2 linked regions of the Danio rerio genome follow. The main gene of each other region encodes a partner of the protein of the gene in region 2 in a complex. Links are inferred from orthologs where the notes say so. Each region holds a gene or a part of one and is shown on either strand. Other genes may lie near its edges. The genes, in order: stac3 and cacna1c.

Region 1 (16,109 bases), on a different chromosome or scaffold from region 2:
ACACATAAATACACAGCGCTTCCTAGTGGAAAACACACACAGCAAGTTCATCTTTTTCTTGGCTCAAGAAATTATTATATGAGCTATTCCAGCAATATGGATGTGACATTTGCAGTAAAATCTCAAAACATAAATTGACAGAGTAAACATTATATTGAAACATCTCTTTATATTTTTCAAAACAACTAACCGCAGAGTTATAAGAGCAGAAAAATACCAACCTGTAAACATGTTTTATATTTTAAATGAGGGAAATAAACATGTTATGAATGTGACAAAAAAAGCCAGCAAGTTTACAGCAAACTTTGTAGATATTCTGTGAATTAAACTGCACAAACCAAAATAAACGATGCTAATCAACAGGAGTTAGATCATTATAGAACGAACGTGACAGATTTGATCTGATTTTACATTTTTGCATTTACGAGTCATTATGGATGTGACATATCTCAATTATGGATGTGACGGATGTGAAATTGCACTTGTGTGACGTTTGTAACTCAAACATAATTGTTAGAAAACACAGAGACATGTTTGAGTATTTTTAAAGCTCTGTCAAACACTTGCCAACGCAAAAAAAAAAAACAACAACAAAAAAACGCAGAGACGGTTTCTCTGTTTTGGTGAAAACTTATTTTTTGTTCATGGCTGGGCTGACATTTGCACGGAATTGCTCATATAATATACATAAATAAAAGGGTATTACAGTCAACAAACTTCAAATATGAGAAGAAAAGGGAATCTGTGCAAGTTTAAGGCTGAAATTCTGAAGCATGTTTCAATATTCAATTTAAAAGAACAGCATGTGTAGTAAAAATAAAGCTGAGTGAACTGTGTGGGCATCAGCGGTGTATAACCTGAATTCACCACAGGGCTGTCAGTGCACTTGACTTTACTGACACCATTTATGAGCGAAAACTGATTTGTTTCGGTCAACTGCTGATTATCAGTGTACTGTTGTGCATCCAAATGTGTACAATAAACACTATTATTGCTTACACAATGGCAAACACTAATGAGTTAAAGAAAATAGCTCACAAAAACAGTAAAAGTGGACTGTACGACAGAACAAAAGCAGACGTGATGATGATGATGATGAAGCAGACATTACTCATGCAGCTGTAGCCCTATAATTAATCGAGCGTGATGAGCTGAAACACCCGCAGCTGGCTGTTTACTGGTGTTTTTCTGTTCACCTCCAGACTAATGAATAAGTGTTTGAAGCGCGGTTAGTCTGGTGTTCTGGAGCTGATCTCGTGTCGTTATGATCAATAACAGCAGCACCTTTACTGTTCTTCACCAGCGGATGCGCTTTAATCAGAACACTGGCGCTCATTATCGCCTGATAAGATGTTAATGCGGTGTGTTCGATAATAATGAACCCTTTTATGAAGACATTAGCAAGTATACAATAGACTTGTCGAATTAAACACTTTAAACGCTTGAAAACACAAACCTTTCTCCAGCCGAACCACAAACACGGGAGCGCGGCTCGCGCCTGTGACGTCATATCGCACGACCAAAATAAAAGTCCTGTTCACGTGTTAAATTAAAGGCTTGTAGGAAGACTATTCATTCATTCATTCATTTTCTTTTCGGCTTAGTCACTTTATTAATCTGGGGTCGCCACAGCGGAATGAACCGCCAACTTATCCAGCACATGTTTACGCAGCGGATGCCCTTCCAGCTGCAACCCAGCACTGGGAAAACTATTGTATATTGTTTACAAAGAAGGAATTCGATTGGTAACATGTTTTCATTCATTAACAGTGCTCGTTTGTGAACGATTTTGTTGATACTGTGTAATATATATATATATATATATATATATATATATATATATATATATATATATATATATATATATATATATATATATATATATATATATATAATCACATAATCATCATCATTATACATAAAAACCCAGAAAGATTTGTACACCTGAAATATATTACTGACCTATTTCTGGTATATTGTTGTTTTGATTACTCATATTGCTCTCATTTTCAGTTGCTTTGAATAAACGTGTTTGCCAAATGCTTATTGAATGTATGAATTGTATGTGGCTGTTGTGGAATAAAGCTGTAACAGCTGCCACAAGCCCCTGAACATTGGCGTAAATAAGCTTTTAATAAGCTAAATCCTATTTTCTGGCACTTGAGCCAGAGAGTCACAGTAATAGATGAGATGTGCTACTGTATGAATATGTCATTTTTGTTTTTTGAGATATGATGAAAGCTGGAAAATGAAGCTCATGTTCTCAATCTTTTGTTTAGTATATCCATTATTGTAAATTTAGCAATCAGTGTAGCAATTAGTGTCCTGGGTCTGCCCCGAGGCCTATAGGTAGGCGTTCAGGAGGCTTCTGAAACAGATGCCCGAGCCACCTCAGCTGACTTCTCTGGATGTGGAGGAGCAGCGGCTCTACTCTGAGCTCCTCCCAGGTGACAGAGCTCCTCACCCTATCCATAAGGTTCATTCCGCTGTGGCGACCTCTAAGCTGAAGGAAAATGAATGAATAAATTAATATATTTCCTGTGATTGGTCTGTACATGTTTGGAGGACCCCAAGGAACCTAACACATTTTTTTTCCCCAGGGCCAGCCCGAACACCAGCCGGTGACCCACTCACACCTGCGGCTTCTCCAGGATGGACGTCCAGCGTTCTCCAGCCTCAATTGGTCAACTGGTGAAGTTCCTCCTCTGTCGCCACTGTCCTGCTTGGTTTGGGACTTGTGGAGATGCACATGGATGGATTTGCTCTTCAGTGTTTGGACTCTCAGCAGTGAAGATTCAACCACACTGAACTGAACTGAGCTCTGAACACTGGACTGACACGGCTTCAGTTCACTAGAACTTCTGTGTTCAGCTGCTGCCACACAATCTACACTGTAGAAGAGCTGGAGTTTTATTCACTTGGCTAGAAAGTGCTTCTTCATTAATGAATTAATTAAATATATTTATTACTGTGTGACATTAGAGAAGTCATAATGTTTAGTAAAAAGGTGCTGTTCAGCTGCAGGCCTGCTGTGAGTGTGTGAAGGTCTGCATGTGTGCCTGTCTGTCAGAGGGACAGATATACAGAGAGACTCGTATTACTCTCCGTCATCTAACACCTGCTGAAAACACTCACAGTGACACACACACACACACACACACACACACACACACACACAAAGTGTTCAATCCTCAGTTCAGAGCAGTCTGGTTATTACTGAGTTAAGATTATCTTCTGTGCTGAAGCAAATATTAACTTATCTGTATCAGGGTCACACCTCACTGACTGAAAACTGGGATTATAGCACAGAAACACATCATCTACAGGTGTGTATGCTTGAACTTGCTTGTTCTGATGGCATGATTTAGTGGTTGTGTGCATTTAAATCTTTTCTATGTATAGTCTAGAAAACGTTTCTGATTTGTTCCTGTAGCTCAGTTTAGTGAGAGATCCTGAATTTGTTGGCCTCAAAAAAAGTTTCCAACTCAGATATAGAAGTTGTGTGTGTGGATTTGAGGATTTCATCATGCTCTCATGTGTACAAATTAACTGTGAAACCTTTTTGTGTTCATTTATTCCATAATAAACAGGTGTATGTAGGGTGTGACATGATCATTGCACTGCATTCGCCACCCTGAAATTACTTTATTTTCAATAAGAGAACCAGAAATCTGTCTCAACACGGAGTGGACATCCTCAGATTCCCAATTTCGCACTGCAAGGTCAACATTAGAAACACCCAGTGGTGGAAAGAGTACAGTAAAATCATGCTTAAGTACAAGCACATACTTGCCTAAAACTGTAGTGCAGTAGAGTAAAAGTGTCTGCTGTAAATATTACTCAGTATAGCTTTCAAACGTACTCAAGAGTAGGGAGTATTACACTGTGAAAAGCTGATGCGTTTACATGTAACTTGCACATGTGTGTGTGTAAACGTAAGATTCTGTAGTGCATCTAGTGATTGCCCAGCAGGTACACAATGTCATAAGACGTTAATATTAGGTTAGATTTAAGTTGTGATGTCGGGAAACCAAAATTCAGTTTCTAACCAGTGCAAATCAAATGACGTTGATATTTGGTTGATTTTAGGTTTTTAGAAAGTGACCAAAATCTAATGTCGCGCCAACACCTTAAACCAACATCACATTGACGTCACATACTGATATTATTTCATCAGGTATGGCAACCGAAATCCAACATCTGATAGACGTCATAGTGGTAACGTCCACACAACGTCAAGCTGTAACATCATTAGACGTTGATTTTAGGTTGATTTCAGGTTTAACGTTAGACATTGACGTTGGCCTGACATTGAGTTCTGACGTCAAACTGATTTTCACTTCCAAACAAAATGCACTGTCTCCAAGATGTTAGTGTACAAGGTCAATCTGACGTCATGTTGACGTCTTGTGCCTGCTGGCTGTTTAAGGCCATTTGGCTCATCATATAGTAAACATTTGCCATCTTCTCATCAGTGATGTGCATCTAAACAGTCTCTGGGTCAGTGAGTGTGAAGATTGTGGACATCTTCTTTTATGCACTTTAAATGCTTCTAAACAGTTTGCTGCAATTATAAATCATCTTGAGGTAGTTCATTATGAGGTGACTTACCTTCAGTGTGTGATTTGATCAGACAGGAACCACAGGACTGATCTCTCTAATCTCCATAGACAAGAAAAAATACAGTAGTGACTGCAGGATGAAGGAAATTAGTGGAGTAAAAGTACAGATACTGCAGTAAACGTACTCAAGGGAAAGTAAAAGCCCACATTTATAAAACTGCTCTCTAAATTACAATTCCTGAGAAAACTACTTTGTTACAGTAAATTGAGTATTTGTAATTAGTTACTTTACACCACTGGAAACACCTAATCACAGCGGCTAATATGTCAGTGATCATAGCACTTTACAAACATGTGTTTACAAGTCAGAATCTAATAATTATGATGATTTGTCAAGAGAGATATGAATACTCAGACCACTTCAGGAGGTGTTCTGATGTGCATGAGAGATGTGCTCTCGTTTAAAACCACATATTATGCGCACATGACGATCCACATTTCTTACAGGATGCTCCACTGACCTGTGGGGTTCCCCAGGGCTCTATTTTGGCCCCGTTGTTATTTTCCATTTGCATGCTCCCTCTCTGATCTATTTTGAGAAAATGTGGGCATCGTTGCAGGAATTACACACCGGTTTACTTCCCAGCACACAATTTAGTTTTTAATAGACGTTTAATAGACATCTAAGCATAAACAGCTTGGCTAAAACAAGACTAAACTTGGGCTGTCAGTGAAAATCTAATAGACATCTAAGAATAGCCCAAAACTAGACTATAGTCGTCAAGTGGACAGATTAGACAGACTCTATATGTGTAGTCCTTCATTTCTGTTTATTTGATGGCTAGTCTAGTTTTAACCTATGGACGTCTATTAGATGTTCAGCCCAAGTTTATCCTTGTTTGAGCTGAGATGACATTGTTTGGACGTCTATCAGACATCTATTAGACATCTTTTAAAAACAAAAAATGCTTGCTGGGTTGCTAGTGGTTAATGTAAACGCTTTTCAGAATCAGACAGATATCTGATCAGAGTAAACGCATGAAGAGAGCAGGTGTACACAAGCTGGAGTTTTCTTGAAGCTGGTGAGTGTCTCCTGCAGGTGCGGATTTCTGCTGACTGACTGCGTCTGAAGAGGCTGGACTGATGGCTCAATATGACCAGTGAGTGTTTGACAGATTAAACAGTCTTTCAGGAGCATTATATAAGATTACAGCTATCCTAATGCTCAATGTGTTCCAGACTGGAGGATAAAGACTCGCTGGACATCCACGATAACCCTCCAGCGCCAGAGAATGTGGTGAAAGAGGACGACAACACTGTACGTATGATCACCTTCTCTTATTAGCTCTCATTCAACACACATTTGTAAATACAGGAGTGAATTATTTGTGTAGCACAAAGCTTCCTGAAAACCCTATTCACAAACACTTGTCAGAACTGAGATATATTTAAATATGAACTGTTGTTTAACTTATTAAACTAAATTAATTAATAAATAAAGGGTGTGTGCTCCCTCATTCATAATCTGCATAAACCCACCTATGCCGGAAATCAAAATGCTCTGCCATCACTTTTGATTTGATTAAATATTAGTCATTTTTAAGCCTTGTTAAATTGAACTTTAGCTACTGTTTTTGCATTCACTAACATTAACTAATGGACTATTATTGAGTAGTGTTTTCAACGTTAGTTCTGCTGGGGCTTCATAAATGAGACCTGCAGTGTGTACGGTGAGCACACAGCCGACTCGGTCATCCTCTCAGGTGTATTTTCTCATCCTCAGGTGTATTTTGTGTATGATGAAGAGGTGGAGGAAGAAGAAGCTCCTCCGCCACCCACCCCGGAGCCCATAGTCCAGGTCAACGACAAACCACACAAATTCAAGGACCACTACTGCAAGAAACCCAAGTTCTGTGACGTCTGCGCACGGATGATTGTTCGTAAGTTCACATTGATAGCAAGTTACAATAACAGCACACATATTGTCTCAACCCTTTGCCTCATATGTTTGCATTGTTAAGGTAAACTGTTCTTGCCAAAATGAATGATCAGATACACACATAAGTTGCAGAAGAAACTCTACGATATGAAACGTATGCGCTGTGTGGTGTCTCTACTTTCAGTCAATAATAAGTTTGCGCTGCGCTGTAAAAACTGCAAGACCAACATCCACCACTCCTGCCAGTCATACGTGCAGTTCCAGAGATGCTTCGGCAAAATAGTGAGATGAAAAAAATATTTAATATACATGATTAACCCAGACGCTCAGCTTGAGTTTGATTAATCTCCCTCTCTCCATCAGCCTCCTGGGTTCAGACGGGCGTACAGCTCTCCTCTCTATGACCAGGAGATCAATAACCCGGGTGAGTCACATGTGTTAATAATCAGAGGTCATTTCTGATTTACATTACCATTTAGTCATTTAGCAGAAGCTTTTATCCAAAGCGACTTACAAATGAGGACAAGGAAGCAATTTACACAACTATAAGAGCAACAATGAAGAAATGCTGTAGGCGAGTTTCAGGAGTGTAAAGTGTAAGAAGCAAAGCATTAGTAATTTATTTCTTTTGTGTAATCCAGTTAGTGGTGGAGCCAGAGAGGCAATTGCAGATTAGGAAGTGAAGTGGAAAATAAACAGTTGAGTTTTTAGTCGTTTCTTGAAGACAGCGAGTGACTCTGCCGTTCTGATGCAGTTAGGGAGTTCATTCCACCAACTGGGCAGATTGAGCGCGAGAGTTCGGGAAAGTGATTTCTTCCCTCTTTGGGATGGAACCACGAGGCGACGTTCATTCACAGAACGCAAGTTTCTGGAGGACACATACATCTGCAGAAGTGAGAGCAGATAAGGAGCAAAGCCAGGAGTCGCTTTGTAGGCAAACATCAGAGCTTTGAATTTGATGCGAGCAGCAACTGGCAGCCAGTGCAAACGGATGAGCAGCGGAGTGACATGTGCTCTTTTAGCTTCATTAAAGACCACTCGTGCTGCTGCGTTCTGAAGCAGCTGAAGAGGCTTAATTTACATTAAAACAACTCTTGATGATGATGATAAGGGATGAAGCTGTGTTTAAAACACATTCAATATGCTGATAATTGTTGAAATGTGTACTAAACAACGAGAGATGAAGCTCTCTGCTCATGTAGTCTGTTATTTTAAAGCTTTAGCTTTCGGACTATAGATAGATGCAAAAGTTATAGATGCTCCCTCAAATAGTCCACTATTTAGGAGAGTATAGGGGTTAATTTTGAACACAGCTGTTGATTAGCTTGTTCTAGTGTGTTTGATGCAATAGTATCTGAATGCAGCCTTTATGATGCAAGCTGTGATTATATCACTCAGCGATGCAATGTCAGACACAGTGCACTCAATGGAGTGAGTGACATCACTGTGACGGGTAGGGTAAGGGGTGGGGTTTGGTGAGAGCATTAAAAAGCATTGGATGCAGCCCAGATTGCATCTGCGACAGCTCTGCATCCAGACATCCTCGATTGATGAGGGTTGGACTAAACTCTGCAGGATTAAGGCCCTTCAGGAACAAAGTTCTCCATCTCTGAACTGAACACTAACCTACAGAAGCATGTCTGTGCACAGGTCAGCAGAACCGCACAGATCCGGTGTTCGACACGCTGAGAGTCGGAGTGATCATGGCCAATAAAGAGAGGAAGAAAGGCTCAGAGGACAAGAAGAACGTAAGTGACCACAGGATATCAGGATGTTACTTATGTACCTGGCAGGTCTACTGGAGGATTGGGCAAGCAGGAGCCGATGGTAGTGCATCAGGAGAAGTATGAAGATGAACTGAGTGAAGATGCTGAGAGAGAGCAGCTCCTTCACAATTCATCTTCATAAACACCACGGTATACTTCCAATAAAGTGCTTGTTTTCTTTGTTTGTAGGCAAAAAGAAGCTTAATAAGACTGAGTGAAGTAAACTGTTTCTGTAAAAGAAGTGAGACTTTAGGACCAGACAAGACCTGCAGCACAGAGACTGTTGTAGATGTGTCTGAGCTCTCGCTGTTACCTATTATGAATGAATGAATGTATGTGTGTGTGTGTGTGTCTCCTGAAGATGATGATGATGATGATGGAGGAGGAGGAAGCTCAACAGCCCAAAGAGGATGAAGAGGGCGCTGAGGGTAAGCATATCTGCACCGTGTGGTTTTGGGTTGATTTCGACCTTTATTCTGACATGTGCGTCTTCCTTCAGTCTCTCTGAGGTTTTGTGGTGCTGTGTTCATGTGGTGTACAGAGGGGTATGGAGGAGGCAATTAGCCTCTCCTGATGAGGAGAGGCTACCTGATGAGCCTCTTCTAGTGTGTGAGCATTTAAGGTGCACAAGTAACGCGCTCTGCGCTGGACTTTAGACCTGCTTTTAGATGATCTATTGCACAGTCCATTTTAGTTTCTTAGAATAGCAGTGCTCCAACAATGCGCCTTAACACACCTCCTTTTCAGACCAGAAAAACCCATGCGTCCACAAAGTGGTGCAAATGGATTTATTATTTAAACAACATGGCACAAATTATGAAAATTACTGTTGCATTGGTCTGAAAATAGCAACACATTGCGGCATACCCGTCTTCTGCCTTATTGCACCAGGTGTATGATAAGGCCATAAAACTTGGTCATGTTTTGAGACTGCTTGGATAAAACACAGTCCATTATAAAATGATCTTTGTTTGCAGTGTGGTTATCACAAATGATGTAAAGCATGTTAATGAGCATGTTTTCTTTGAATTCTAGTGATGTCTTGAACTTTAACTACCTTCAAACATGAGCTTGGCCTGCTAATTTAGTTGTTTTATTAACGAGAAAAACATTTTGAAGGGAGGTTGCATCCACACTGGCTTTATGTATGAATTACCTACAGAATTAAGTGCTGAATGGGCATACTGTATACTTCATTGATAGGGAAGCAAGATGGAGACAAGAAAGACAAAACCGCAACAGATGACAAGGTAAAAGACTGCTGTGCTGTGCTGTGTGTGTCAGAAAAGAAAAATAATCCTCTTTTTAAGATTGGACTGGCATGTCAACATTAGGAAGCCTTTTCCTAGCTTCATGAGCCTTGACTCCAGAATCTTACTGGTATTGCCTAAAAGCTTCAAGTGTGCCTGCACTGACATGAAATTCTGTTCTTACTTAAGAGTCTGTGTCCTGTTTTTAGTCCATTATCTAAAAACTCTTAAATCAAGAAGCATTTATAGACAAGCAAAACAATAGTGTTGTTTTCAGAAATAATGAGTCAAAATGAAGAGAGTTTTTCATTCAAACAAGCAGAATAATCTTATTTTAAGCAGAATGAGATTGTTTTGGTTCCCCATTGACACATTCTTTAGCTTGTTTTAAGGAAAAACTTGCCTAATTTTGACATATTATTTCCAAAAAAAAGACATTTGAGAAAATGCTTCTTGATTTAGGAATTTCTTTATATTTGCACAAGAAAAAAGACACAAAGGGGTTTTGCAGTGTACTAATGCCAATTCAGTTTCTACTAATATTTAATTTTACTTTCACTATTAATATTTTTAAGAGGTTTTTCACCTTTATTATGACAGGACAGTAGGGAAGTCAGACAGGAAAGCACCGGGAGCAGAGAATGGCAAAGAATCTGCAAATGACCTTGAGCCGGGAATCGAACTCGGGTCACTGTGAGCACGTTGGTGTTATATGTCAGTGCACAATACCACTAGGCTACTGGCGCAGACCACTTCCACTATTAAAAAGCTAATTAAAAGTATAATGTTGTGTGTCGACGCCAGTAGCCTAGTGGTTAGTATGTTGACACAAAGCACCAATGTGCTCACGGTGATCTGAGTTCGATTCCCGACTCAAGATCCTTCCCCATGTCTGCTCCCCACACTTTCCTGTCTGTAAAATCTCAACTGTACTATCCCAATAATGATGAAAACCCCTAAATATCGTTATATAAAAAAGGTTTAATGCTGTGTAAAAGGTGTTGAATACTATTTTTTTGTTATTTACTGTTTGTTGTATTTTTGTGGGTCAAACATTCACTCATTAAATGCTGCTTGTTCAAACTACTGATTTAAAATGAGTTGAAACAGCACAATATTCAGCAGTTTTTGAGACACGTAATTGATTTATGATTTATGATTTATATTTTATCTACTTGAAGTTGTAAAAACTGAGCTGGGACCACTTGAAGAAATTGTGTGGAACCCAGTCTTTTATCCAGTGTTTGATGGTTGTGAGTGCACTTGTTTTGCATTTAATGACGGTGGGCATTGCTTTAACAGGCAGAGATGCTTCAGCGTACTCATGATGGAGTCTGAATCTGCCTCTGCTCCTGATCCTCCTTTAAACTCTCTAACAGACTGTATTTGATGATTGCAGAACAAGAAGCAGCAGCAGACCTTCAGTCAGTCGCATTATTATATGGCTCTGTATCGCTTTAAAGCCATCGAGAAAGATGATCTGGACTTCCAGTGAGTCTCATACAGCACATTCACATATTTAATATCAGTCAGAGTCATGAGCCGTGTTGACATGCACATATTCTCATGTAAACGGTGGAAGATGGAATTTAAAATGCTTAATGAAACACCAAGATGCAAATGAATTGTGGAAATGCTCAAAAACTGATGCGCTTTTATCTCATATGAAAATAGCAAACTTTTTCTGTCTGATTTTTGCTCCTGTTCATCAGCCTGTGGTGATTCTGCTCTCTTTGACTCATTGATGGAAACACTGCTTTACTCATAAATGTTATATGAAATATTCCTGATTTACACAAGTCTAATGCACATCTTTTGTGTGTGTGTGTGTGTGTGTGTGTGTGTGTGTGCACGTGTGCGTTTCAGTCCAGGAGATCGTATAACTGTTTTGGATGACTCTAATGAGGAGTGGTGGAGGGTGAGGTTTTTAATCTATTTATTTGTTTTATTATTATATTAATCTTGACGGCTGTACTTTCCTGTTCTTTTTGGGAATTTCTCCAACATTTTTGTGATCTATTCATGTTAAATACTGCCTTGTTATATTTATCTAGGTTCATTTATTACCTCCCCAAAAAAGTTACAGGCTGCATTTTTAAGTAGTAATATGTAGGAAATATAACGCTGTAATGTTAGATATTAGCATTTTGAAATGATGAGAGGAGAACTGGTGTTGGAGAACATAAGTTAATATAAGTTAATTAGGGTAACTAGGCAGGTTAGGGTAATTATGCAAGTTATTGTATAATGAAGTTTTTTTCTGTAGACTATCGAGAAAATTATCGCTGAAGGAGCTAATAATACTGACTTTAAATGGTGTTTAAAATATTAAAAACTGCTTTTATTCTAGCCGAAATAAAACAAATAAGACTTTCTCCAGAAGAACAAATATTATCAGACATACTGTGAACATTTCCTCAATCTGTTCAACATCATTTGGGAAATATTTAAAAAAAGGGGGGCGAATAATTTGGACTTCAACTATATATATATATATATATTCACATAAATTCACATATATCATATCAAATTCACATATATCACATATATGATATTGCATATCCATATATATCATATTTTTTATATAGTACATTCTATATTTAAATATATTTTCTGTAGCCTTCTGTAAGACACTGTATATGGAAAAAATGATTTTATCAGTTTTCTGTTGTGTTAAAGGGCAAGATTGGTGAGAAGACGGGTTATTTACCCATGACCTACATCATCCGGGTTCGAGCTGGCGAGCGGGTTTATAAAGTGACCCGATCATTTGTGGGAAACCGAGAGATGGGCCAGATCACCCTGAAGAAAGACCAGGTCAGTCTGAGCTGATGGAGATCTATAGCTGTGCCTCCATCCAGATATTTCTATGTGCAGTTTGGATTATCACATAAAAAATGCATGACGTAGACGCCAAGATGCGCATACAGATGGAAAAAGTGCATGAAAACTGATGTTCACATCATGACTGGTATAAACGTCTCATTCAATAAGAAAAGAAGTGTGCATAAACTACAATGGACACTATTTCACCAGATAATCCCAGCCATCAATATTTATGTGTACACTTGTATAGCACTAGCTAACTCCATTAGTGTCTGTGGGAAATCCTGAGAGAAGTTTTACTTAAAGGCAAACAGAGAGTTTCGACAGACACCATGAAATAATAAATGTTTCCCCACTGCTATTGTTAAACCTTTTGATTTTAAAGTTAATATACTTTTACTCTGTGTAAATATTATTGGACAGCAAACTTAAGCAAACTAATCAATTTAAATTAAATTAAGTTAATATTTCTACACCTGTTTATAAGGGCTAATTCACCCAGACATGAAAATCATGTTATCATTTACTCTCCTTCAACATGTCTCTCTGTCTTTCTTTCTTTCTTTCTTTCTTTCTTTCTTTCTTTCTTTCTTTCTTTCTTTCTTTCTTTCTTTCTTTTTTTCTTTTTTCTGATGAACACAAAAGTAGATTGAAAAAAGCTGGAAACCACTGACTTCTATAGTATGTGTTTTACTGATTGGTATGTGAGCAGTCGTCAGTGTGTTTGACTGTGTGCTGGTTCTGCAGATCGTGGTGAAGAAAGGAGAGGAGGTGAACGGATATTTGAAGGTCAGCACTGGCCGTAAACTGGGCTTCTTCCCTGCGGATCTGCTGCATGAGCTCTGATGATCAGCAGAGAAGGATGAAGAGAGATGGAGCATGCACACAGCGGCTGCGTTACACTCCACTTTTACACACACACTCACAAACATCCCTTCACTTGTTCCCTCAGCGAAATCCCTGCCGCTATTATGAAGTACATACCTGTTCATCAAGTGAACGAGTGAAGATTTAGATGTTGACCCTAGCTTTTGTCAGATTTTTCAAGTCTGGTTCATATGTCCAATATATGTCCTAGAATGCGATGTGATTGTGACGTCTCAACAGTGTAGTGCTCAAGTGCTCAAGGGCTTAGGGCACTCCATTTAAACCCATTCAGATGCTCCGCCAGTAGTGGACACATATGTAACCTCATTAATGCTGTACATCCAAGGGAACGAGATGAAGGGAAGTTAGTGAGTCAAGAACATAAAATATTGTACTGGAACGCAGCCCCGGTGTCATTTCAACACACAATACACTCTTCCAAATAAATGTGCCATGAAGAGCCAAATCAGGGCTTCACAGTCATCATTAAACAGACATAACTAGAGTAAGCTTTGATTTGACATGCCGTCCCATCTGACACTGTGAAAAGTCTATTTTAGTTTTTATTTCTGTTGAGGCTGAACAACAGCATAAACTACTATCACAATGATGACCACAGGTGCTGATTATGTGCTGTATTCAGTGTTAAATGCTCCTAATGTCAGTTTAAACACCAGTTTACATGACATTTATTGCTGTACTACTGAAAGCAGCAGCAGATCGTTCAGATCTTCAATACAATAACCAGCAGACACTGTGAGAATGAACATCAGGACTGAGACTCAAAACAACATCATCAGTCTCTCAGTAGACTATTACTGATGTTCAAGAGCTTTAATATGCATCGACTAGACTAAAAGCCGTGATCATTATCGGGGGTGCGGTGGCGGGTGTTTAAATAGATTGCTGGTTGCTGCGTTTGGTACAGAGAGGGTGAAGGATGGGGGAATGTCTTTAATAGAGATTGTCATTTCTAATTTAACATAACTGTTTGATTGATTGTTTTATTTTTGAGCTACAAAAAAGCTAACTGAAATGAAATGTTAAGTGTTGTTGATTAATCAGATTTTTGTCACTCACTGGACAGAGGAAACTGCAGAAGACATCAGTGAGTTAATCAAGGCTGGTGCAGCTGCACTAGTGTATCCAGCATTGAACTCTGTTGGGTTATAAATGAAGTTGTTCATGTTTTTATTGTAATAAGTTCATTATAAAATATTCTAATATATTATGCATTCATTCATCTGATAAAATTTATTTGTAAATATTATTAAGTTAGGAAATTTAATTGAACTTTAATGTAACACAGCTTTGTTTATTTATCTTCAGCCCACAGCCCTTAATCAACTTTGGTTTTTGACTCTTCATGAGTGAACGTTTGGAGTACCCCTGTCATAGAGGAAGCTTTTAAGATTCCCCAAAGCCTGTTAAAGTGAACAAGTTCTTTAAAAAAGCTCTTAGATAGTGTAAAGAACATTTTTCCCAATCTAAAGTTTTTGTCCCACTTTTTTGTAGAATGAAACACTTTCATGAATGTCTTCTGGACCTATTGATGTCAATAAATAAGCTTTATATTTAAGACTCAAGGCACAATAATAACAATAACATCTTTCAGTGGACACTGCTGTTTTATTAGGATCTGTATCACCGGCCTTTATTCACACTGAATGTTAGGTATTTCAGTGCTAGTTGTTTCAGAATGTCTGTGGTGACTTGTGCCGACATTATTCTCCTGAATCCTCCAAAGTGATGGTCTGATGGTGTTTGTTGTGTCATCGGCCGCTCTGAGGCGCAGATCATTTATCAAAAAAATAAAAATAAAAAAAGAGCAGTGCATGAAACTTCAGAGCTCATTTGGAGCAGTTCTCATGCTGACATTACTCTCTTATCACACATGATGGTTCAGAAACATGCACGTCTCGAGAGCTCTTAATGTGTGAATCAGGCATGTTTGATTAGGCCAGTGGTTCTCAATTTTGGTCCTTCTCAGAACTTACTGGAGGCTTTCACTGGTTTCTACCCCCCTACAAACCCTGATTGAATCTAATTTTGATATTAAAAGTGGCAAAACATTAAAAGAGCTTAAATAATTTCACTCTGAAAGAACAGACTTGCTCAATTCAACATTTTAGTGGATAAAACTCATGGTTTCAAAACTCAGGAGAAAACAACGCTGCATCTCTTTTGAGTGTCATCCTTATGTATGCTTTTGTAGCCAACTAAAACTTCACCAATTATAATAAATAACTTTCTCCTCAAACGACTGAAGTGCAGATTTGAGCATATGTAGAGCAGTTCTGGACACTGCTGCCTGCGTTCTGCCTGCTCTGATCAGTGTCAGCTGCTCCTCATTAATCAGTCAGCAGAGGAGAAGGCGTCAAGCTGAAGACACAAACCCCAAACAGAACACTGATCTGTCAAATTGTTCATCTGTTAGCTTTTTAAAAACAGTAATTAACAATTACCAAATCGTGTTCATATAAAGTGTGTTTGGTGTGAGTCTGTGTTTCTGTAAACATCATTTGACATTGTGTGCGTCTCAATCAGCACTCCTGTTCTATACTCTGCCCTTAATGAACTCCCATCTGACTTTTTTTTTTTTTTTTTTTTTTGGTAACTGATGGTTTAACTGCTTTATAACAGAGCTCATTTTCTCTTTGTCTACCTGAAATGTATTTATTTACTTTTGGTATTGTGTGACAATACAGATTGAGTGATTATAACAGTAAGCAATAAAGTATTGTATATTATTAATCTCTTCCACAATCCCCTCATGCATATCTACTAAATAAATATACACTAGTACTTCTATAGTATTTAATTTCGAATTTTGATATGAAGTTAGTTTTGAAAGTGAAAGATGTTCAGTTTCCCCATGCATCCACTAGAGGTCAGTGAA
Region 2 (16,545 bases):
TCCAGTCCATATTGGAGAGAAAGGGGAGTAGTCAGTCTGTGGCCCTGCGGAGAGAGAGCGCACACCACCAGCCTCTCTGCAATGATCTGACGACCAAACCCCCTCCCCTGTAGACTCCCTGACTGCTTCCAGATGTGACTGCGCTAGAAAGGAGAATAAATCCTCCACGCTTTTCCACACGGGCTGTATCTCTTGAGGGAGAGAGAGCAAACTTGGGAAGATCGAGGCAAGTCAGCTCCAATACAGTGAGGAGATTTGAGTTCTTTTACAGTCCGGAATTGTTGCAGAAGATGATTTGCACCACAACCAATCTGGCATAAATACGCTCACAGTCATGGCTCTGAGCACCATGTTTAGACATTATTATCCACTTCCTGCTGGCATGCCACTTCTGAGGTGAATGCTGAGTCCCCCAGCAGCAGGTGTCAGGATGATTTTTCCCTTCAGCTAAGGTTTAACCGACCTGATCTTCCCATGGCAGGACACACTGTATCCTGAGGACTGGCAGGCTCTGATAAAAGGGGACGACTGGGGCCTGGGAATTTCTGCAAGATGACGGAGAATCTTTCATCAGCAAACGGTCTAGTCTGAATTTAGCAGGCCCTTCCTCGGTCCCTCCCTCCGGCCATGAGAAAACTTCACATGTCCCAAGAGACATCCTCTGCCCCCAGATTATCCTTCTCTCTCTCACTCTCGCTCAGAACTGCATATGCTGAATATTCAATCAGTCAGAAGAAGCATGCATGAGGTTGTAAGAGACACACAGAACTGCAGGTTTTCAGATCTTCCTCTGTTTGAACGAAGAACCAACTCTCCCAATTCACAGACCTCCAATCTACGGCCAAGTTCTTTGATTGAATTTTGCTTTGGACAAAAGTTCATCATAGAGGTCAGCGATTTCCCATCAGCATCCCCAAATAATTGATTAACTTTGGTATGTTTATACAAAGCACAGAGGAAATGTTCGCAATGTGTTTCTCGGTGCCACCCTGTAATAAAATGAGTTTCTGGGAACTCAGGGGTCCAAAAAAACATGGTCATCGGTACATAAGGCAAACTGGTTACCGTGCCTCTTCAAAGATTATAAAAATCCTCTTCCAGTGCCACATTTCAAATGTCAAGACGAATCATGTATCTGTCTGCACACTTAATATGATAAAAGCAGTGATTGCTCTGCAGCCACATACAAGATTCCTTTACTAATGCTTTAATTACAGACTACTAAACTAATTTACTAGGCTTAACTGAAGATATACATAATTTTTTCTTGTCTACTAGAATCTTGATCAGTTTAAACTGAGCGTGTAATCAATATAAAAGTTTAAGATCTAATGTAGGCTAAATGTTGGTTAAAACTTTTCTGCAGTGTTTAATTAGCTAAAACATATAGATGTGTACATAACATCACGATCACTTTAACAGAATTAGAAAAAAAATCTGCATGGGCTGCTGTGCTCTCTCAGAAATAGGTTGGAAATGATGCTGAACAAGTTAATTAAACACGAGTATTTAGGTAATGATGACCTCTAGTGGTACCTTTATAAAGTGCAGTTGAGTAAATTATCTTGAGAGGAAAGGATTTTCAATCTTGGCTCCGGTGCCAATGGGGCAGTGCAATGAGCTTTGTGGAAATGCTAAAGAGAAAAAAAGCATAGAAAAATGTAGCCTGTGTGCGTGTGTGGAAATATATATATATAAACAGAAAAACAAATGCATAGTAAAGCAAACACAACACGTAGATAATACAAAATAATAATAATACAATGCCTAACATTTTAAATAAACAAAATAAATTTATAATCATATTTATAAATAAATAAATATAGACAGACAGACAGACAGACAGATAGAGAGACAGTGTAACAATATGTTATACATTTATATTTCTTTCATGGTTTAAAATGGTCCTTATGGGGAAAACCTGTATAGGTGTCTTTTACATTTAGGATAGAGGTCCCACTAAAGACGATAATGATGACATCTAAAAGACTGGCAACCCCTATTTCAATTTCAAGGGGCAGACTTCACTAGCGAAGTAAGCAGTCGCTTACAGGGAATTATGGGGCCCTGAAAAATGACAATGTCTATAACCATTACGATTTTAACAACATTACTTCTTTTTAAAACCGGGGGCCCCATGAATAGTGCAACGTTCCTCCGTACAGCAAATGTAAAAACTAATCATAAATATGTCAAGTAAACTGTACATACAGTATAGTTTGTGAACTTGTGTGTGAGTGAGTTTATTGTATTTAATTTTACATTAAGAGGATTAAGGAAGATTAAAGGAGTTTAAAACATATTTTGAAAAAAAATCTTTAGAGAATGAGAGTGTTTTGAGTTTCATCGCTAGGGCCCCACACCTGAAATTGCTTAGAGCCCCAAGTCCGCCCCTGCTCAATGGGGTACAACAGTACATTTAGATTTATAGATTTATGTAGGCTAGTTGCAGGTGGGAAATGTGCCATTTTAATAATCACAGTAACATTACAGCGGTTGGACTTTACAAATGCAGCAGGGCCTCTGGACTGTAACATTTGTTTTTGGAAAGAATACGCAAACAATTAGGCAACAAAAACTAAACTACAAATCATCGTCTTTACCGAGGCAGCAATAGTGCAGGAGTGCAAGAATTTCGTATCCTCAAGGGTTCCCCTGGGTGCAGAAAGTCTGCAGCGTCAGCTCACTGCTTTAGCGTGATGTAAACGAACGTGCTGGCGTTCTCAGGTGAGCTCGAGCCAGCTGGGGGCTCATCCGTAACTCTGTCTCGACTATTTTCCCCTTTGCGCGCGCTCGGCGATTAGCTCGTTCTGTCTTCTTGACAGCGCAAACATGGCGATGACGGCAGCGGGACGAGAGTTAGACAAGTGAAATAAAGCCTTATATTCTTGTTTACTGCTTTGCACATCCCTGAAAACATACACAAGGAGACCGGATCGTTAAATAAGCTGTTTAAGTGTTGTTTTTACAGAGTTAAATTTTGCTTTTTAAAGGTATTTTAGGATTTGTGCCGTATTTTAAGTGGAGGTAAGTTTAACTCCAGTACGATGTATAAAAGAGCAACCGCAGCTCACCAAGGCCTTATTTAGTTCACTCGTAAACTTATGAATGTATGATGTATACCATTTTTTAAAAAGTAAAAACACTATTAATGCAGGGTTAGGGATATTAACAAACCGCTCAAGCGCAGTGTTAAACTTGTGTACGATGTCCCGCAGCGCTTGTGCTATGAACATCAACGGTGACCTAACCGGTCAAAGTGACCAGAATAAATACAGACGAGGATGAGGTGGACTCTTTAGACTCGGGCCAGTATATAACCACTCGTTATACCATAGTAACTACATGTAAGGGTTAGCTTGTCAACCACATTTTAGTGAATGCGAGTTTAAGAAATGTATTTTTATGCACACACATTTTTACTCATTGTATAAATTAATATATAAATGAATGCTTATAACTAAGAATAACGAATTTAGTTACATTTTGTAATCTTGCAAAGGTCTGACGCATTAATTTCTGTACACAGTAGACAACATTTGAAGTGGATCAAAACCTTTCATCAAAGTTATCCCAAAACTATTGAACAACACCCACATATAGATGATGGATGGATGGATGGATAGATAGATAGATAGATAGATAGATAAAACAATACTATATTTGTTTGGTAAACATGCAAACTGAACCAAAAGACCCATACAATAGAGGTGTACAGTAATTACATGTTAATAAAGAGTAATTACATCTTAATAAAGAGCATAAGTTTTTATTTACAGAAGCGAGCTGGAGCCATGACTGCAAGCACAGGTGGCGGTGGGAGCTGTTTATCAATGAGTCTGTCTGCTCTGAAGAGACTCGACCCCTACATCAGCAGCATCACAGACCTAGCCAGCCAAGTAGCACTCTACACCTTTAACAACAACACCAATGAATGGGTAAACAACAAGATCATCTCCCTTAACATAACATCTTAGTGGATAGAGATATTTATTTCTACTGCTACAAACATAATATTATTGTTTTAAATTGTAATATTATTTTTCTCCGACTTAAACATAAATAGATCAATGTATGTTTTTGTTGTGGTTTTCTGTAGGAAAAGACAAATGTGGAGGGAACTCTGTTTGTCTATAGCAGGTTTGTTTGATTCTTACATGTTTTTAACAGTGAAGCAACACCCACATGTACTGTATGGCCCTAAATCAGAGCCCTAGAGATCTAATGTGGCTCTAAGGGTCAGAGAAATAACCTGCACAATATTTCTCAGCATTTAGATGTACCACTGTTGTCTGCTCTTACACTGCACAACACCCACATGCAGTTTTGTAGGTCCTTCAGACTCATAAGCTTTAGTTTCCCACTCATGCTACGAGTTTTAACGTCAGTTCTCTGTGTATCAGGCTTGCCTCCCCCAGGCATGGCTTTACCATCCTCAATCGCTTGAGTATGGACAACCTGACTGAACCAATCACTAAGGACTTGGATTTCCAGCTGCAGCATCCATTTCTCCTGTACAGGAACGCTCGCTGTAAGTCTGTCTTTTTGTTGAACGAGCTCAAAGTCATCAGAGTGAAATATTTTAGACTAAACCAAAAGACTGCAAAAATATTGCTAAGCCCAAAGTATGCATGTATAGTTGATTTAAATGAAGAAATCCTTACATAATACAGTGTGTCAAAATATATGTGATGTGAGCGAGAGAGAGAGAGAGAGATGGCTGGGTGATAAGAAAATATTATCACATATCAATGATGTCTCCTGAGCAGGCTAATGTTGATTATGACATTAAATTATTGGGTGATAATCAGCATTATTGGGTTAAAAAAATAAGATTGTCAAGTAAATGTATTCTATCTAGATGATATTTATTTACCTTTACATTTTTCACAAATGTTTATGGTAAAGCATGTCAGCGATATATATTTTAATGAAGCACATTATTTCAGAAATGCAGTTACCTAAACTTATTTAATTTAGCCCTATAAATACAGTTACAATAAAATATAGACATTATAGATAATATATTGACCAATTAAGAAAGTAAGTGAAGTTTTACAAACTAATTTTGAGAGAAGCACGTTATATCAAACTGACTATAAATAGCCCGACTAACATTACTCCCTCATTTTAATTTTTTGAAGAATCCCCCCATGCCCCCCATCTTCCCCTTTCCTCCTGTACCAAGAGAAGCTCTCAAGAACTACCTGATCTCGTACCTCCTTACATGCTAACTGACCAGGAGGGAGCCCTGGGCTCAATTATCTCCGAGCTCAGGGTTCTCTCTCGGGACAGCATGCCAAACCTGCTAACACTTGAAATGACAAATGGGAAAGACGAGAAAAAAGTTTAATGGCATAAAGAAAAAGCATGGACATAAATTCAGCCTTAGAATTGTAAATGTGTTTATTTTATTAAAAATATAATTAAAATGAATGGACCTGAATTTAGCTGATTTATTGTCAAATTAAATTTAACAAAAGGACATTCAGGCTCGTTATCTTTTGTAATCAGTTAATCAGGAAAACAAATGCACTTCTCTGAAGTTAAAGCTTTACGACGATGCTACAAACTCTTTCAGAAGGACTGCTTGCATGCAGGCACACAAAACCTTTTTTGGCTTACAATGGAAATTTTTTAATATTCCTCCATCAATTACATTCTCCCTGGGCTGGCGCATGCAGCTTTAGACAAATTTATCATGAGGTAGTCAAGATGGCAAGATAAAGAGTGATTTAATTATTATTATTTGGTCATATTAATAAGCTATCACTGATGTCATTTAAAATTCACTTTGCTCTATTTCGCCTGCAGGAACAGACTGACTCACATCTAAAATGTTTTTAAAACAGAAAAAAACATCATCCAGACATCTAAAAAATAGATTGTGACTATTGCTTACAGTGATGATGTTAGTTTATATCCGGATACGAGCTTTAGAAAGGAATGCATAAGTGAAAGAGAAAGTGAACAAGAGAAATGATGAGGTGCAGGGTCAACATATATTACGCACTTATTTGTTTGCACCACAGGCTATACATTATCTAAATAGACTATATAATATAAAGGAAACTTGCTTGTGCACAATTTTAGTCAATAATAAAATGTATCTTAATGATTGTGTTATGTAGGGGTAGACAAGGGGGTTCACTATAAAGACACATTTAATATGTGCTGGGCGTCCTCCAAAAAGATAAGCAGCTCAGCATCCGTCTGCTCTGCCCTAATAGTGGCAGTGAAATAGTGATATAGTTTTTTTGGTTGTTCAAATGAGATCACCAGACATTTTTATTTATTTATTTATTTATTTCCAAATAGGTCTAGGGATCGTGCTTGCATCACCATTTACAACAAAGGGTAATGTGTGTTTAATTTGGAATGCTCAGAGGTTGATTGTCTGGTGAGAAAGTAGTCTTTTACTAATGTTCAGATTTATGAGTGTTTAAGGCCCAGGTAAACTTTGTTTTCAGTTTTCTGCTCCATCTCATGCACAGTTTAGTGAGCAACGCTTTCAAAATTAATTGACTGTGAATGTGGAAGCACATTAAATCACTGGCCCCTCAATGCACTAGACTGCAAGAACAAAAAAAAAATCAGGCTGCACACAGATGGTGTTCACAGACATCAGCCGACTGTGCTAATGACAAAAGTTTGACCACCTTCAAATGTGACTGATATAAATGAATTTTGACATGTATTAAGGAGGATCAATGTCAAACAGAAACACATGTTAATAACCAAGGTGTAGATGGGCAGGGAGCAGAGGGAGTGCATCCATCCAAAAACTTCAGAGCTTAATTGCAGTAAAAGTGTGTCTAGATTGAAAAAGCTGTCATACTGGTGAGTGTATGTGTGTGTGAGAGAACGAGAGATCAGAGATCGCTGGCAGGCGGGCCTGTTTGAGAGGCCCCAGAGCCACAGTGCCTTATATGGTGCAGAGAAGTGTGTGTTTCTCTTTCAGTTTCCTGCCAGCATCATAGACCCGACCAACCAATCCTGATTAGATAACAACCCTCTCTAACACGCATACATGCACAGGCTTCCAAGGAAATTCATGATAAGGAGACCTGCAAATAGAGTGCATGGAGAAAAGCTTTAGGCTTTCAAAGTAGAGAAACTACTTTAGGCTTATTGAACAAATCATTGTAGATCCTGATGTTTCAGCCAGTCCAATAATGAGCTTTGACCGTGAAATTCTGTGCATCTGCTGACGGTCTGATGGGAAACTTTGTGCTGGCTACTTTGATGTAGGTGAGATTTTACAGGCAGACTATTTCACTGATTTAATTCCCCTTGAGGGGATTTTATCTCTGATCAATCTTGCTGCACCAATGCTGGAATGTTGTGAGAGGTAGCCAAGAAGTTGATTTGCATTTGTCAAATGTTGTTAGTGGCTGTTTGTGCATTGCAATGCGATTGCTAAGGTGTTTTGGCTTATACTCCGGTGTTCTCAACAATCCTCACGAGTTCTTTGCAGAATGACTGAATGTTTAATTAAAATAAAACCAAAATCGCAATGAGGCTTAGTGAGTATATCAAAAGGCTGTGAATTTATGTATGAGCGTGTTTGAGTAAACCACGGCTCTTCAGTAAAAGGAAAACATTTAAGCATGTCATAAATATTTTACAGCCATAAACAAGTCGCTAAGATATTTTTATAGCCTTGACATTTTTTGTTATAAAACTTTCAAGTCAAATTGCAGTTGTAATTCTTATAATAGTTACTTTTTTCCCCCCAATATTGTCCCACCCTAAATCCTTCATGACCTGGATCAAACAGTTTCAGTACCCGATTAACAGCTAAATACTTGGTAGAGCCAATATGGCCATAACAAACACTACTAATTAGGTTTCACACAGCGAGAAGTCCTGCATTGTCCATCGCTCCTCCTCGTGTGCCAAGGGTGCTGGATTCTGTCCACTCATCTCTTAAACAAACGCAGTGTTGTGGTTGTGATTTGTAACGGGATAGCTGGAGACTTTCAGCAGGACTGTTAAGTATACAAAGCTCTTACCTCCTGGCCGCACATGTGTGTAGCCCAGCTCTCTCTCCGATACAAGCTTCCCTTTGAACCGCACCTCCACTTCCTCCTCCAGTCGCTCATGCTTCAGCCTGCGCCAACTGAACAGCCCCCGCAGCATCTCCTTTTTTTTCTGAGGTTTGAATCCTCAGCAGATTGAAGCTTTGGTCTATTTGAAGTCGGTCACAAGTTCACAGTCTCCTCAGTGCTCATGTGGATTCAGCTCCATTCAGTAAAACTCGCAGCAAATGCTCCTGCACTCTGTCTGACTCAATGTGTGGTTCAGGTCTCTGTTTTTCTTTTCTTTTTTGTGTGTGTATTTTGCCAAGTTAAACTTCAAAAGCGCTTCCAAAATCCTCTCATCCTTCTCTTCGTTCTTCTCCTTGTTCTCCTCTCCTTGCTCTCTCTCTTTCTCTGAGTTGTGTTCCTCAGTTCCCAGGCAGTATTTTGTTTGGGTTTTTTCCCCAGGCGCTGACCCGTGTGGTGCTCTCCGCTCAGAGAATGAACGGTTGTGAATATAGCACCAGCCCTCTTTCTCTCTCTCTTCCTCTCCCTCTCTTTTACTGCCTTGGATTTTGTTATCTCTTCTAGAGGTGAATGGAACAGGTCCTGATTCGGCTGTCAGCACCAGTCTCTAAGTTTAGTTCATGAGAGACCACAGTCACTGAAACTTCTCTTAGTTGTTCCCAATACAGTTGTTCTTCAAAAAGGCAACAGAATGTTGATGCGAGCATCTGGCAACTACATTTTGGTGGTTAACGACATTTTGGTGGATTGGCAGAGCACTTGGCTCCAGTTCTACTTGGGCACATGGGAGTTTGGACTGTCTGGGAAAGGAATGTCAGCTAGAGTGGAGTGTGTATGTATGATGGCAGTTTAAGTGCATGTATGGACTTCTTCTACTGACAATTCTGATACGGTGCTTAACAATTATAGTCTTCTGCTCTTGATTGATTTTAATTAAATGAGTGACTGAGGTTAATATTATCATGTATGTGTATTTTTTTTTGGCAGTGTCCATCTATGGAATCTGGTTCTATGATAAAGAGGACTGTCAGCGTATAGCAGAACTCATGAAGAAGTATGTGTATCTTTCATCTGCAAACTTGCACAACATGGTCACACACTTAATGGGGTATTTGCATTTCAGGTCTTTACATTACAAATTCGCCACATTTAAGATCTGATTTCTTTCAAAATCAGTGATCTTCACAGTCTGGTAGATATACAATATGAAGTGGATCTCAGACCGGACAAGAAGCATTGCGTTAAATTCCATTTACCCCACCACGTCTTTAAAATGTGAAATTTTATTTTACCACAGTATTTTTAATGGAGTTTCTGCGCTAGCCTGAAGCTCCTGGAGGCTTTTATCTCATTTTACACTTGAACAACTAAATGAATGATTAAGTCTGTTTAACTGATTGTATTTGAATTACATTACAACATTGATGCTGTAAAAAGAACATTAATGAAATTGAAAATAGCCACGTAAAGCTTTCACTGGTAGCTTATCAATGGCTAAAAATACTAGCTGTGCATGTAGTCCATTCTATTATCATATAATTTCCATTTAGGCCACATTCACAATGGAACTAAATTTAGTTGTCTATACCTTCTTTATTGCCTAAATATGTTTTGTAAACAGTTTAGAAATGTACAGCTGTGTTACAAGTAACGCAAGTTACGTAATATTATATAAGTAACGAAAAAAAGTAATACATTACTTAAAAAAATTAAGTAATAATAATGGAGTTACTGTTTTCTAATGCAAGTTACTTTTTAACTTATTTAATCACCTTTTAATAAATGTAATTGCTGAATTAAAATTAACTTAGTCACATTGAATTAATGAGAGACTGTGCTCCCGTAGGAACAGAGAGAAACGAAGATGGCTGTCATACATTTTTGTGATGGAAGTATTTTCATTATTTTGAACACATTGAAGAAAAGAAAAAAGGGAATTGTCTTGATGGGCAGTGATTTTACTTAACTAAAGTAAACAAAAAACAAAAGTATTTAACAAAAAGTACCAAACCACACATTTTTGTTTACTTAACTAAAGTAAACAAAAAACAAAAGTATTTAACAAAAAGTACCATACACATTGCTTTAAACGTCAATAAAGTGTGTATATACGGCATGTATAGCTCTTGGGTCAGGAAGTTCTCAGAAAATAACATCATGCTAAATTATTTAAATTTTAAATTATTTAATTTTTTTTGTTTTAGGTAAATGAATGTATGGGTTAAACAGTGCATTGTTAATTACAGAGCTCCTTTATTAAAAAAAACAGCCAGCAAAAAAAAAAGTAATGACAGAAGTAATGTTATGCATTACTTAAAAAGTAATTAAATAACGCAACTTGTTACTTTTTGGGGGGACTAACTCGATATTGAAATGCATTACTTTAAAAGTAACTTTCCCCAACACTAGTGGCAACTGATTTTAACAAACCAAATTAAATTTAAATTTCTAAAAATGACATGTTTACAATTGAAAAAAGTATTTCAATGTTGTTGTCACTTCTGAAATTTTACTGTCTACATAATTTTAATTATTTCTGTTTATTTTGCGGCCGATGAAACACTGATTATTTAAATAATATGATCTGTAATTTGGTCATTTGGTGGATATTTTAAATACCTGTAATAAAGCCAAATGTCACAAAAATCTTTTGTTTCCTGTATTAAATATAAAACTGTTCAACAATAATTGCTCACTGATTTCCAAACCTTGTTGTCAGGTACTGTACACCTACTTTTTCTCTTGTGTCAGTTTGGCAGGGCAGGAACAGCAGTTACAGGCGCAAATTGCTACTGGCTGTCTCTCTCCGAGATCAGCAGAGCAGGGTGTGGATATAATGCAGATGCTCACTAAAGCACGAAACGACTATGACAAGGTGACGAGACTTTTCTCTGTACAAGCATTAAGTTGCTTCATATGCACTAGAGGTCATCAGTGCACTGTAAATCTTAATTTGTTTCTGTGCCCCTTTTTCTTTTTAGGGAAAACTCAGTGAGCCAAAGGAAATTGGCAGTGGTGGGATCATCTACGGTCAAACCCCCCATCTGATCAAACCCATTCCCCTCAAACCAGCACAGGACACACACATTCAGGCACACACTCAGCATGTGCGATTTCTTTCTCTCTGCATATTTGTGATTCAATAAATAGCCCTTTTTAAATGTAATGTAATGTAATCCTTTTCTCTTAGGATGCTGAGATGGACTCAAAACATCTGTCAGTTGTCACACTGTTTGGTGCTCAGCCAAAACCAGACTTGGGCTCAACACAGCCCAGCTTATCTGTTGGCAGGATGGGCCCAGCAAGGTCTTCAGTGGCCCGCTCTCTGTCTTATGATGACCCTTCTCCAGCAGGTGGTGCTGTGGTGTCCAGCACCCCCATGCAGCACTGTCCAGCCATCCACAAGCTCATGTCTGGTTCACTGCTGCAGCCTCTATCTGAATCCCCAGAGAGCCGCCTGTGTGAAAACGGAGCAGTCCAGATCCAGCCTGACCCAATACAAAAACTGTTAATGAACCCTCCTCCTGTGGCAGGGACTACAGTGATGCCCTCCATCCAATTAAAGCAGGGGGAAGTTGGCATGGGGCCCCAAATCCACTCCATGGCGAAGCCCTCGGGGCCCTTTCCAGCACAGCATCTGTTTGTCCCAAATAAAGTGCCCTCTGCTGGAGTAACAAGTAATGTGGTTTCACCTCATGAGCTTCTACAGAAGCTCACATTAGTGCAGCAGGAGCAAGAGCTGCATCCTCAACAGGAGGTCCTACAGCCAGGTCTGACCACCAGCAGCTCCAATCTCAGCAAAACCAATCTGACACAGGTCAAATTTTTAGTTTGATTAATTATGCATCTGTTGCCTTTGTGTTTCTTGCAGCAGCACGTTTAACCTGTCATTTACTGTGTTTGTGTGGGTACAGGTGATGTCACCACAGCGTATCCCAGCGACTGTAGCCCCCACCCTCCTTCTTTCCCCCAGTGTGTTTGCTCAAACTAAAGTAACAAGAGCAGATCCAGAACCAGTTGAATCAAGAGCACTTAGCAAGTCTCAGCTACAGGCCACATTGCTCCATCTCATCAAGGTTAGAATTAAGGATACAATCAATTTTTATTTCATTTTTTCCTAAATCATGCATTTATTTTATTATTATTATTTGTTATTATTATTATAAATAGTAGTATTGTTATTATTAATTGATATGATTGATTGATTTCAAGTTATCAATTTCTTAATCGTAATCAAGTAATCAAAACCTTCTAATTTTAATATTTCAAGTGATGAAATTTAACAAGCCAAACTTACATTTAAACAGTTTTAAAAGAGTGAAGCTTTTAATGGGTTCTTATGAAGATGATTGTGTTTCAAGTGTACAGGATAGGTCAATAGTTCTTAAAACTAAAAAATGCATATGAAATGAATCAGCAGCTCTGGAGATTAAGTTTATGTGATTTGTTTTATCAAAGTTATAATTTAATGAACAATAATACTAAGTTATAAACAAGTTATATAATATTATGAATCATATAATCTAGTTAAGTTATATTATAAAATTTGTGTTCTTATAGGATGTAGTGCTTACAGATCCTGGGTGATGAAAATGCCACAAGCATTGTATTTGCTTTAGGATGTGTGCAGACTTCATTGATAAATAGAGATGTAATGATTTACTGTGAGTCGGATGAAAATCAGTTGTGACAATTCAAATCGATAAAAATTTTGAACGAATCGCGATACATGTTTTGAACAGAGAGGGCGCTGTTTACAGGCAGAAACTGGCTTTACCTGCACATCAGAGCTGAGCAAAAGGTGGGGTGGCAGGGCAGCGTAAAATGAAAGCAGTGAAGTGAGCCTAATAAAACACTAACTGTGTGCAAATACTGCAAAAAGATGTTTACTTACACTAAAGGAACAACAAATATGCACATAAACCATCAGCTCAGTAAAAACTACTGTCACAGACATCTATATGCAAAAAACTATTAATAAACCAAACCACATGGAGCTGATGATTTGCAGCTCTGCTTGCTCTGAGTGCTACAGAGATCACACAGTGCATCAGTGCTTTCATAGCTAAAGTGTAAAGGTGTTTTTCAGACTGAAAGAAAAAGTTCTGTTACAGAAGCAAGTATTAGACTATTTTTACCCTCTCCTTTTCAAATTAGTTTATGCGTATTTTAATAATTTGCTTATTATTATTTAATATTTAAAAATGTTCACGATAATTTCTTCTTAAGTGTATCAAACTGATACTTATACTAATTAATTATACAAGTAATATTAATAATTCACCTTCATAATTATGTTTAACTCCTGTCTCTTTTCTACTTTATAATTAGTCCTTTTATAATCACAACAACACTACAACACATATTTCAAAATTTATCAAAAATGGTTTATATATAAATATGATGACATATAGCCCATGTTTATGAGGTCCAATCAACATTTTCAGGTTTTAATGAATAGGGTACTATTTGTTACTACTTGACATTTAAGTACAGCAGTTTTCTTTTTACTTTGAGAACAGTAGCCTACCATTTTAATTATTTTAAACATTGACTTTTATTTATTCAATTATTTATTTATTTACCCATAAGCACAGTACAGTGTTAATGTTCAAACTATTTTTAATGTTTAAAATGGCTGACAATAATAAATATTCTTAATAATAGGAATTAATCTTCCTTTAAATAATTTTTTATTTTATTTTTTTTTCTGAGGTGGTACTTGATGAAAAAAGTTTAAGAACCACTGCTCTAAAGATATAAGTTACAAAAGTGAAAACAAAAACACTGTGTAAAACATTAAATGATTGATTGATTCAATGGGGCATTCTTGGCTCATGTTTGTTGCTGTATTTCTAATTGTTTGTTTCTCTCTGTGATTCAGAATGATGCTTCATTCCTTGACACCATCTATGAAGCATATATCTCCCGTCTCACAACAGACTCCAGCTCAAAACCTTTTTGAAGCAGGAAAACCACCTGAACCATATACATGTAGCTTTCACTCTCTGAACACATATCTGCATACCATCTCAGGACCACCCTGCTGTTTCGAGTGTAGCATCTAATGAGTTGAACTTCCACAAAATAATCTAATCTGAATGATAAATGCCACATCACCTTTGAATTTTACATTATTTTTTCACGAGCTGCAATCTTAAGCATCTTAATATTTTAACAAAGGAGAATTGCATAATGGGTTTTATGTTTACTTTTTAGATAATGACAGGAAATGTGCTGTCTGTTCAAATCAGAGCGTAAAGACTTTTAATGAAGGCATTTTTACTTTTGCATATCTGAAATACACCCCCGAAAGAAACTCAAAAACAGAACTTGGCCTCAAATATAATAGGAATAACATGATGAATGGCATGACAATTCATGTAAATCTTGGTCTGTACCAAATGACAGGAAATCACCCTCATCATTTTACAAGCCAGCAGGAATAGTTTTCATGTTAGTCAACTCTTTAAAATGTTTAAATGTACAAACAAAAGTGTACATATATATATTCTATTTTTCTATGGTGTTATTTTTGTTCTTATATCAACATGCTGGAATGTTTATAAGTTCCTTTAAAAAATCTTAAACCTTAAAATTAAGACCAAGAGTGTTTTCCAGTCAGCAGGTCAGGATTAAAACCAATTAAAAGTTATTCTATTTGTTTTACATAATTAAAATATTATCCCACACCCCACATATTGTATTTTCTTTCTCTTTTATTACCAATGTATTACTTAACACACTACAGTTACACAATTATACGTGTATTTCAGGCTAAAACCTTTTTAAAGACTCACAAAACACCAAAGCGCATTTTCTGAGATGTTCACAGTCTTGTATGTGTCCCACATTGCTAAAATACTATTAGGAGACTATTATATATCTAGCTAAGTGAATATTGTTTATTTTTGTGTTGTTTAGAGCAAATTTGTTCGACCAGTTTATAAAGAAATTTTGAAACAACGTCACAGCTACGAGATCATTGTGTAAATTCCAGCGTGGAGATTGCCTGTCTGTACTGGCCTGTACAAAGTGACGCCATTGAGTTTTAGCACATATGTTCATTAGTTCATGAGAAAGACTTGGTTCAAATCAATCAGCATGCTCTATTGTGAACAAGACGCAACTTTATTAATATGCATGATATTACTTCAAAGACTCTTTTTACCTGTTACAGTGTACAGAACGAGTTTCATTCCTCTGTGGTGATCCCTGATTAATAAAAGGGACTAAGCCGAAAAGAAAATGAACGAATGAATGAGTGTACAGATGGCAGAGGGATGCCACGTTGTATTGCCCACAGTAATTCAAACAATTAGTTGAAGAAATGTGCGGAAACATGAGTCTTCAGTATTGCGTTTGTCAAAATATATATCAGAATTGCTACAATATGAAGACTTAATAACATTGTAATAGTACTTCCCAAGGACAGCTTCAACTGATCAAAAGTGACATTAAAACTTCTAAAATGTTTCAAATTTCACAATCTGTAGACTCAAATAAACCTATAATTGAAACAATCACAGAGGCGACACGGTGGCTCAGTTCTTAGCACTGTCGCCTTACTGCAAGAGAGTTGCTGTTTTGAGTCCCGGTTGGATAAGTTAGCAGTTCTGTGTGGAATTTGCACGTTTTCCCCGTGTTGGCATGGGTTTCCTCTGGGTGCTCCAGTTTTCCCAACGGTTCAAAAACATGCACTATAGGTGAATTGAATAAATTAAATTTGCCATAGTTTGTTTGTGAATGAGAGTGTGTATGGGTGTTTACTGGGTTGCAGCTGGAAGGGCATCCACTATGTAAAACATATGCTGGATAAGTTGGCAGTTCATTTGACTGCAGTGACCCCTGATGAATAAAAAGGACCAAGCCGAAGGAAAATGAATGAATAAATGAAACAATCGCAGTTTCTATAAAAATATGAAATGGCAGCTGTTGGAATATCAAGCCAATTCCATGCGTGTTCAAGAGAAAAGGTCTGGAGAGGTTTTTCTTCAATGTCAAAAATCGTAACAATTTATTGGATACAAATGAATAAATCGATGACAGAGCTCTGGGTTACATTACCCCAATGCAATACAAGAATTACATTCAAGAGGTTCGCAACTAACATATATTTCCTGACTTCAGCATATATACACCACCGATCTTAACAGGTGGAGTTTTGGTGTAACGTCACTTGTCAGTCATTGTTCAGTCCTCCATTGGCCGCCCCTTCGGCATACTTCCTCTTTTTCTATGAATTCTCTGCCCAACAACAAAGTATACATCTTTCTGTGTTCTGTGTTCAGTTTTAACACCTCTCTTCAGACAGGAAGTTTCTGCAGAGCTGAATTTAATTTTGGACCCGCATCTATCTACTTCTGCAAAAATGCTAATTAGTATGCACAGCACTCACCCACAACATTAGAAGTTCAGTTAATATATGACCCTTACATGACCAATACAAATAATTGTTTGATTAAAAGAAAAGAGACAAAAAATAATAAAAAACTTT

The links.
Region 1: cacna1c (region 2) and stac3 share a complex: the UniProt entries of both Homo sapiens proteins name them as parts of the calcium channel complex. The link is inferred for Danio rerio from reciprocal best matches to the Homo sapiens genes CACNA1C and STAC3.

What each region holds. Positions count from the first base shown.
Region 1 is NC_133184.1:261,482-277,590, forward strand, and holds stac3 (SH3 and cysteine-rich domain-containing protein 3), read left to right. Parts: upstream 1-3,178; 5' UTR 3,179-3,326; intron 3,327-5,569; exon of another isoform or gene 5,570-5,661; 5' UTR 5,662-5,705; coding exon 5,706-5,722; intron 5,723-5,801; coding exon 5,802-5,880; intron 5,881-6,345; coding exon 6,346-6,502; intron 6,503-6,685; coding exon 6,686-6,783; intron 6,784-6,864; coding exon 6,865-6,925; intron 6,926-8,151; coding exon 8,152-8,249; intron 8,250-8,628; coding exon 8,629-8,695; intron 8,696-9,470; coding exon 9,471-9,517; intron 9,518-10,916; coding exon 10,917-11,008; intron 11,009-11,383; coding exon 11,384-11,435; intron 11,436-12,196; coding exon 12,197-12,334; intron 12,335-13,090; coding exon 13,091-13,189; 3' UTR 13,190-14,789; downstream 14,790-16,109. Other genes in the region: si:ch211-166e11.5 (sterile alpha motif domain-containing protein 3), read right to left, coding at 1,457-1,510. UniProt on the Homo sapiens protein: Required for normal excitation-contraction coupling in skeletal muscle and for normal muscle contraction in response to membrane depolarization. Required for normal Ca(2+) release from the sarcplasmic reticulum, which ultimately leads to muscle contraction.
Region 2 is NC_133179.1:20,896,011-20,912,555, reverse strand, and holds the start of cacna1c (voltage-dependent L-type calcium channel subunit alpha-1C), read right to left. Parts: upstream 8,535-16,545; 5' UTR 8,143-8,534; coding exon 8,016-8,142; intron 7,252-8,015; exon of another isoform or gene 7,003-7,251; intron 4,532-7,002; coding exon of another isoform or gene 4,404-4,531; intron 4,141-4,403; coding exon of another isoform or gene 4,100-4,140; intron 3,939-4,099; coding exon of another isoform or gene 3,795-3,938; exon of another isoform or gene 3,767-3,794; intron 3,028-3,766; exon of another isoform or gene 2,821-3,027; intron 89-2,820; exon of another isoform or gene 1-88. Other genes in the region: dcp1b (mRNA-decapping enzyme 1B), read left to right, coding at 3,795-3,938, 4,100-4,140, 4,404-4,531, 9,036-9,102, 10,800-10,923, 11,030-11,155, 11,239-11,865, 11,963-12,124 and 1 more. UniProt on the Homo sapiens protein: Pore-forming, alpha-1C subunit of the voltage-gated calcium channel that gives rise to L-type calcium currents. Mediates influx of calcium ions into the cytoplasm, and thereby triggers calcium release from the sarcoplasm.